2 linked regions of the Xenopus tropicalis genome follow. The protein of the gene in region 1 binds, or shares a complex with, the protein of each later gene. Links are inferred from orthologs where the notes say so. Each region holds a gene or a part of one and is shown in the gene's direction. Other genes may lie near its edges.

Evidence for each region.
Region 2: the proteins of pex14 (region 1) and pex19 are in contact, whole or in part, in an NMR structure (PDB 2W85), measured with the Homo sapiens proteins. The link is inferred for Xenopus tropicalis from reciprocal best matches to the Homo sapiens genes PEX14 and PEX19. Residues at the interface, in NP_004556.1 of Homo sapiens: Leu28, Thr31, Ala32, Lys34, Phe35, Asn38, Ser39, Arg40, Val41, Ser44, Thr48, Phe52, Lys56, Leu58; in NP_002848.1 of Homo sapiens: Gln67, Phe70, Phe71, Leu74, Phe75, Ser77.

What each region holds. Positions count from the first base shown.
Region 1 is NC_030683.2:64,045,974-64,049,726, forward strand, and holds the start of pex14 (peroxisomal membrane protein PEX14), read left to right. Parts: upstream 1-1,487; 5' UTR 1,488-1,559; coding exon 1,560-1,595; intron 1,596-3,753. UniProt on the Homo sapiens protein: Component of the PEX13-PEX14 docking complex, a translocon channel that specifically mediates the import of peroxisomal cargo proteins bound to PEX5 receptor.
Region 2 is NC_030684.2:138,225,616-138,229,268, reverse strand, and holds part of pex19 (peroxisomal biogenesis factor 19), read left to right. Parts: intron 1-610; coding exon 611-711; intron 712-799; coding exon 800-965; intron 966-1,275; coding exon 1,276-1,361; intron 1,362-1,528; coding exon 1,529-1,690; intron 1,691-3,653. UniProt on the Homo sapiens protein: Necessary for early peroxisomal biogenesis. Acts both as a cytosolic chaperone and as an import receptor for peroxisomal membrane proteins (PMPs).

The sequences.
Region 1 (3,753 bases):
TTTCTGAAATATGTTTCTATATTTGAAAACTATTTAATGCTTTCAGTTTTTAGGTAAATGTATAGCTTTTTTTTTGGAATTACAAAAAAATTTAAATTTAAGAAAGCTAAAGTTGTCCTGACAAAAGCAGTAGTGTTCCCAGGTAAACAAAGAAATCTTCTAGGCTCCTAAAAGCAGAAAAAGATCACACAAAATATTTAAGAAACAGCTGGTTCTGAGTGCATTTTAAGTGTAAAGCTTGGCTGGCACTCCTACTTAGTAAATAACCCAGTGTGTGTTCTTAGGGGTATGTTGTAGCTGGTCCCACCATGGTCATTTCATTGCCTTCAAATGTTTTGATATGGGTAATTAGTATTTACAGTGGAATCTTCACTACTATATAAATTCATTTAACTGTAGTGGGTGTTTAATAAATGTGTTTTAGAAATGTAGGGACCCATAGGGTTAAATGCCCTATGGAGTGATATCCCTATCTCTTCACATTGATCCCTTGTTACTGGGCAGAAGCCTTTGTAACAGTTTATGGTTATGCCTATCCTTTATTGGCCCATATGGTTGTCCACACCCTTTGCAGCCTCATGTAGTGTCTAGCAAGGAGGTGCGGCTTCCTCTTCTTGCTGGTCTGCTACCTATGTAAAACCCTCCATTGAGCCTGGGTGCAGACACAGGCCCCAGTAAGCATTATCATTGAAGTAAAGTTGGGGACAGGGCCCCGTGAACAAGGTAAAGGTAGTTGCAGGATTAGACTTTGTCATAGCACGCTCTAGGAGTGTGACTCAGTCAGGGCTATTTAGAAAGAGCAGCTTTCCGCTCCAACCAAGGAGAATTTAGTGGGTTTACCATACCTAAGGCTCTGTCTGCCTTGCTGTAGGGACCACAGTTCAGACACAGGTATCAGGCTAGTATTTACCCCTGAACCACTGTTGGCTATAGGGATCCGGTCCAGTAAAAGGTATTCATCCTTGGGACTTCTGGCTAGTAGCTCACATCTATCTCCACTGTGGTGCTGCACTGTTCTGTACTTCACAACTGCTATTAACAACTGTACCATTCTACCTCAATTACTGTGAGTATGGATTGATCCCTGTGCTAATATTATCTGTCTTGGACAATAAAGAGTTAACTAGTTCATCTGCAAGAGCTCCTGGCGTCCTATTACTTTAACACTACACAGTACCAGTGGGAGTTGCAGTACAACTATATCTTGGGATCTATCCTTCCACTTAGCGAAGGCCCACTCCTTTGAAAGAGAGTCCCAATGAGCCCCATGCTCTAACCATAGCCTGGAGTTTAGAGTGCTTTTTAGCCAAAAAGGGGTTACAGAAACATATCAAAAGAATTCAGCAAGAGAAATCTGAGAATAAATATAAATGACATTTATTTTTTGCGCTGTAAAAGACATGGATGTCTGTATAACTTCCTTAGAAACAAAACTCCATCTCCAGCACACGCTTGAGGAAGAAATAGAACTTTTAGAGATTGGCGCTCTACTAGTTCTGCCTATGGAAACTTGATGCGGCGGCCGTGTTCCCGGTGTTTGATTGGTGAGGTCTGGGAAGATGGCTTCTTCTGATCAGGCTGATCAGTCAGTGCAGGTAAGGCGCGGGTATTCCTCATTTCAAGAGACGCGTTACGGTTTGACTATGTTATATTTACATTGTTTGGATTTATAATAGGTCGCCACGGAGGGCGTGGGTCAGGGGGTCTTAATTTTCTTGGTTGTTCGATTAGTGCACCTGTTATTCCACAGCGTAACTTCCCGTGTACACATGGCCCAACATTGGACCTTAACTGGTAGCAGTAGCGGTTCAGATTTGCCCGTAACGTGACAGTTGCTCTCCTTCCGCTCCTTACTTTTTTCGCCACATAACTATTAGGCAAGTAACATACTGGAAAACTTGTTTGTAATACAGTAGTTGAAAATTGCTGACCTGCCCTGATTTAGTTTTCCCTGATGAATGCAGTGTATCACTTTGGCACCAGACTCATGCAATTTATAAAGGGGTTCACAATTTTCTTTAGTTATATTGAAAGACCTAGCTAAAAGATTGTTTATAATTAATTCCCCCCATCATTGTGGAATATGTGCATCAGTTACAAACTGGTGATGTTTTGCTGCGATTTATTTTAATTTGACATTTTATTAAATAAATTATTTCCTAAATGTTTCATATATTTCCAACACGGGCCGCTGTGTCTGTATCTTGTATTGATCTTAAAGCTGTTGTTCAGCAGGTTAGTCCAAAGGTTGGTAATGTTTGTAGACTGTGCAAAGTACATGTTTTAACAGCTTTGGTGTAAGGGGTTTGTGGTACAGAGGTGGTATAGGAAGCTGCAAATACTAAGATGTCAGTGTGTACTAATGAGTGTAGCCAGGGCCATAGTGGAAATCTTTGGGTTCTCTACAGACTCATGATTATCATGTAGGGTCTTGTCTACAGACATTGCACATTAGCCATCTACTCTGTGCCCTCATGTACTGCTAACCAAGTTAGTGGGTGGCATCTGAAAGGCCACCTCAGGGTGGCACACAGTCCCGAATTGCTTCTGTACCCACTTGTAAGCATTAGTATGTTAGATTTGTGCCATTACTGGATAGGTGTTTAAAGGTTAAAAACTGATCCTTGCTGTGCTCTGAACCAGGGTTGTCATTAGAGCAGGTTGGGTTGTCAGTAGTTAGAAAAAATTATATATTACACGGGAGCACTTACCGCCAGTCCAAATGTGCTAGCACGCGGACCCACTCCCCAGGGTCCGAAAAACAAGGCGTGTAGAAAAAATAAATAAATAGCGGAGCACCACGAGGATGAAGTTAAAATCCAGTCTTTATTCCATCTTAGATAAAAGGCACATGCACATCCCTCAGGGTCTAACGCTTAACGCGTTTCGTGGCCTATCGATAGGCCACGAAACGCGTTAAGCGTTAGACCCTGAGGGATGTGCATGTGCCTTTTATCTAAGATGGAATAAAGACTGGATTTTAACTTCATCCTCGTGGTGCTCCGCTATTTATTTATTTTTTCTACATGGGTTGTCAGTAGGGCATGTTTTCAATAATATATCTGCCATTGTACCATGTTGGGCAGTGCATGGTATATTTCAGATAAGGAATTGTGGTGGTTGCCCTGAACAGGACAATAGTAAGGTATAGCCTTTTATATGATCTTGGTCTGTTCAGCCCACAGGCTGTATCTGGATAATGATGAGCATGTGTGCCCACTTTAAAGGGGTTTTTCACCTTTAAAATTAACTTATAATATGAGGTAGACATTGATATTCTGAGACAGTTTTTCAATTTTTGATTTTTTTCAGTTATTTTGCTTTTTGTTAAGTAGCTCTCCAGTTTGGAACTTCAACACCTTTCTGGTTGCTATGGTCTTGCTTACCTTAGCAACCAGGCAGTGGTGTGAATGAGAGACTGGAATATTGATAAAAGAGGAGCTAAATAGAAAGAAAAGTAATAAAAAGTAACAATAAAAATAATATTGTAGCCTCACAGAGCAATAGGTTTTTTTGGCTAGTGGGGTCACTGACCCCCTTGGGAGAGTTGGAAAGATGTAGCTGAAGAAGGCAAATAATTAAAAACTATAACAAATAAATAATAAAGACCAATAGCAAAGTTTTCTTTAATGTGAACCACCCCTTTAAGTTAAATTGTGTTTACATAGTAACATTTCTTTTATGAAAAATGTATTGTGCACAGGTATGTATTTGAATATATAAAATGCCGAATAATACAAATGTTACAAGTTC
Region 2 (3,653 bases), on another chromosome or scaffold:
GGCACCATCTCTCCCTACTATACCTGCTATCCCACAGCCCCACTCCCTTCCAAGAGGCTATTATCCCCCCACTGCTACTATAGGCCACCATCTCTCCCTACTATACCTGCTATCCCACAGCCCCAGTCCCTTCCCAGAGGCTATTATCCCCCCACTGCTACTATTAGGCACCATCTCTCCCTACTATACCTGCTATCCCACAGCCCCAGTCCCTTCCCAGAGGCTATTATCCCCCCACTGCTACTATAGGCACCATCTCTCCCTACTATACCTGCTATCCCACAGCCCCAGTCCCTTCCCAGAGGCTATTATCCCCCCACTGCTACTATAGGCACCATCTCTCCCTACTATACCTGCAATCCCACAGCCCCAGTCCCTTCCCAGAGGCTATTATCCCCCCACTGCTACTATAGGCACCATCTCTCCCTACTATACCTGCAATCCCACAGCCCCAGTCCCTTCCCAGAGGCTATTATCCCCCCAGAGGCACCATCTCTCCCTACTATCAATCTCTTAGAGATTAGAATCATTCTGATGATGAGGTTAAGGTTTAAAAAGTGTTTGAAATCAAAATGTTCTGTGTGTCCAAAATATTTGTTTTTTTTCCAAGGTGCCCTTGATGATTTTGAGAAGACTAACCAACCTCCCCAAGCCTCAAACACAGCTACAACAGCTTCTGGGCCTGAGAAACCTTCTGGAGATGCTGCCAAGGTGAGTCGGCTCTGTCCCATGTTGTCGGAGACAATTTTTGACAAGGGAACAGATCCCCATTTGGTTATCCTTTCTCTGCTCCCAACAGGACGCCCTCTTCACGTCCCAAGAACAGTTCTTCCAAGAGTTGTTCAGCACTGAGCTGGCAGCCCAGGCCACACAGGAGTTTGAGAAGGCCATGAAGGAGCTGGCAGAGGAAGAGCCTCACTTGGTGGAACAGTTCCAGAAACTCTCGGAGGCTGCAGGGAAAGTTGGTAAGAATGGAGATGGGGAAAGGAATAGACATCTCAGAAGGTTCAAAGCCCCACCCCCCCTTCATTTAACCAGCCCCAAAAGAAGAACTTAAAAATAATAAAAAAGGTGCACTTTGTATGCCCTTAGATAATAGATATGATACAGCCAGCCTAATAGTGAAAATAGCCTAGCGATTTGGACCTTGAGCACCATAGGCGGCTCCCTGGAGCGGATCATAGTGCACCTCACAAACTTGCTAAGATCTTATTGTAGATTAAACAAGGAAATTACTTTATACAAAACAACATGGCTGCCTCCTTTTGCCAACAGGAAGTGATGAGACGTCACAGCAAGAATTTACTTCCTGCCTGAAAGAGACACTCTCAGGTCTAGCCAAGAATGCAGACGAATTGCAGGTAAGAAACGGTGGCCTCTGCAGAGGTAAAGTGCCTCAATATGTGATTATAATGTGCAAGACCAAACGAGGGAGACAGAGAAAGCCTCAGCCACTAGGGGGTGCCAGTTTGTTAGGCAGTAAGGAACAATTCTGAGTGACTTACACATCTCCATTTCTCCTATACAGAACTCCAGCCTATCGGAGGAAGAGCTGGCCAAGACAATGGAGGGTTTGGGGATGGACGATGGTGAAGGGGATGGAAACATCCTGCCTCTCATGCAGAACATTATGCAGAATCTCCTCTCCAAGGAAGTCTTGTATCCGTCCCTCAAAGAGATCACAGAAAAGGTGAGGACCTAGACCCTGGCTTGTGAGCCACATTCAAATGTAAAAAGATTTGAGGAGCAACACAAGCATACAAATAGTTCCAGGGGTGCCAAATAAGGGCTGTGATTGGCTATATGGTAGCCTCTATATGGACTGGCAGCCTACAGAAGGATCTGTTTGGTACACCTGGTCATTATGTCTCATTAAGTCAGAAATTCAAAAATTCATAAGCACCTGTTTTGAGACCCCTGGGAGCAACATCCAATGGGTTGGTGAGAAACAAGGTTATATCTGTAACCTTGTTATGAGCTAAGGGGGCCCAGCCTGAAGGCCAGTTAGGGGGGATTTGGGGTGAGTGCTTATTTGTGCCCTGGGTACCCCTGGAACTATAGCGGGGTGACTGTTACCCCAATGTTTCTATATATCTGTAACCTTGTTATGGGCTAAGGGGGCCCAGCCTGAAGGCCAGTTAGGGGGGGATTTGGGGTGAGTGCTTATTTGTGCCCTGGGTACCCCTGGAACTATAGCAGGGTGACTGTTACCCCAATGTTTCTATATATCTGTAACCTTGTTATGGGCTAAGGGGGCCCAGCCTGAAGGCCAGTTAGGGGGGGATTTGGGGTGAGTGCTTATTTGTGCCCTGGGTACCCCTGGAACTATAGCGGGGTGACTGTTACCCCAATGTTTCTATATATCTGTAACCTTGTTATGAGCTAAGGGGGCCCAGCCTGAAGGCCAGTTAGGGGGGGATTTGGGGTGAGTGCTTATTTGTGCCCTGGGTACCCCTGGAACTATAGCGGGGTGACTGTTACCCCAATGTTTCTATATATCTGTAACCTTGTTATGAGCTAAGGGGGCCCAGCCTGAAGGCCAGTTAGGGGGGGATTTGGGGTGAGTGCTTATTTGTGCCCTGGGTACCCCTGGAACTATAGCAGGGTGTCTGTTACCCCAATGTTTCTATATATCTGTAACCTTGTTATGGGCTAAGGGGGCCCAGCCTGAAGGCCAGTTAGGGGGGGATTTGGGGTGAGTGCTTATTTGTGCCCTGGGTACCCCTGGAACTATAGCGGGGTGACTGTTACCCCAATGTTTCTATATATCTGTAACCTTGTTATGGGCTAAGGGGGCCCAGCCTGAAGGCCAGTTAGGGTGGATTTGGGGTGAGTGCTTATTTGTGCCCTGGGTACCCCTGGAACTATAGCAGGGTGTCTGTTACCCCAATGTTTCTATATATCTGTAACCTTGTTATGGGCTAAGGGGGCCCAGCCTGAAGGCCAGTTAGGGGGGGATTTGGGGTGAGTGCTTATTTGTGCCCTGGGTACCCCTGGAACTATAGCGGGGTGACTGTTACCCCAATGTTTCTATATATCTGTAACCTTGTTATGGGCTAAGGGGGCCCAGCCTGAAGACCAGTTAGGGGGAGATTTGGGGTGAGTGCTTATTTGTACCCTGGGTACCCCTGGAACTATAGCAGGGTGACTGTTACCCCAATGTTTCTATATATCTGTAACCTTGTTATGGGCTAAGGGGCCCAGCCTGAAGGCCAGTTAGGGGGGGATTTGGGGTGAGTGCTTATTTGTGCCCTGGGTACCCCTGGAACTATAGCAGGGTGACTGTTACCCCAATGTCTCTATATATCTGTAACCTTATTGTTAGGGAGCTTTGGCCATTGTACAGTTATTGAATGCTTTCTCTTAATAACTACAGTAATGCTGAGTCTCATTAAAATGACGCTTATATTTATCTGCTAATTCATAGTGCAGAAAATCATATTTTCCTTAAGATTTTACACTTTTAACCTTTTGGAAGGAATATGCTAGTTAAAATTTTGAATTTTAGGGCCATGAAGCCATTAATCCTGCAATCAGCATTGGGTCAATATTGAAGCAAGCACAGGGACTTATTTAGCATCTGTTATTAGCTTAGTGCAGCCAGTTGCCAGTAAAAAAAAAAAGCAATCATTTTGATTGGCTGCTGCAGATAA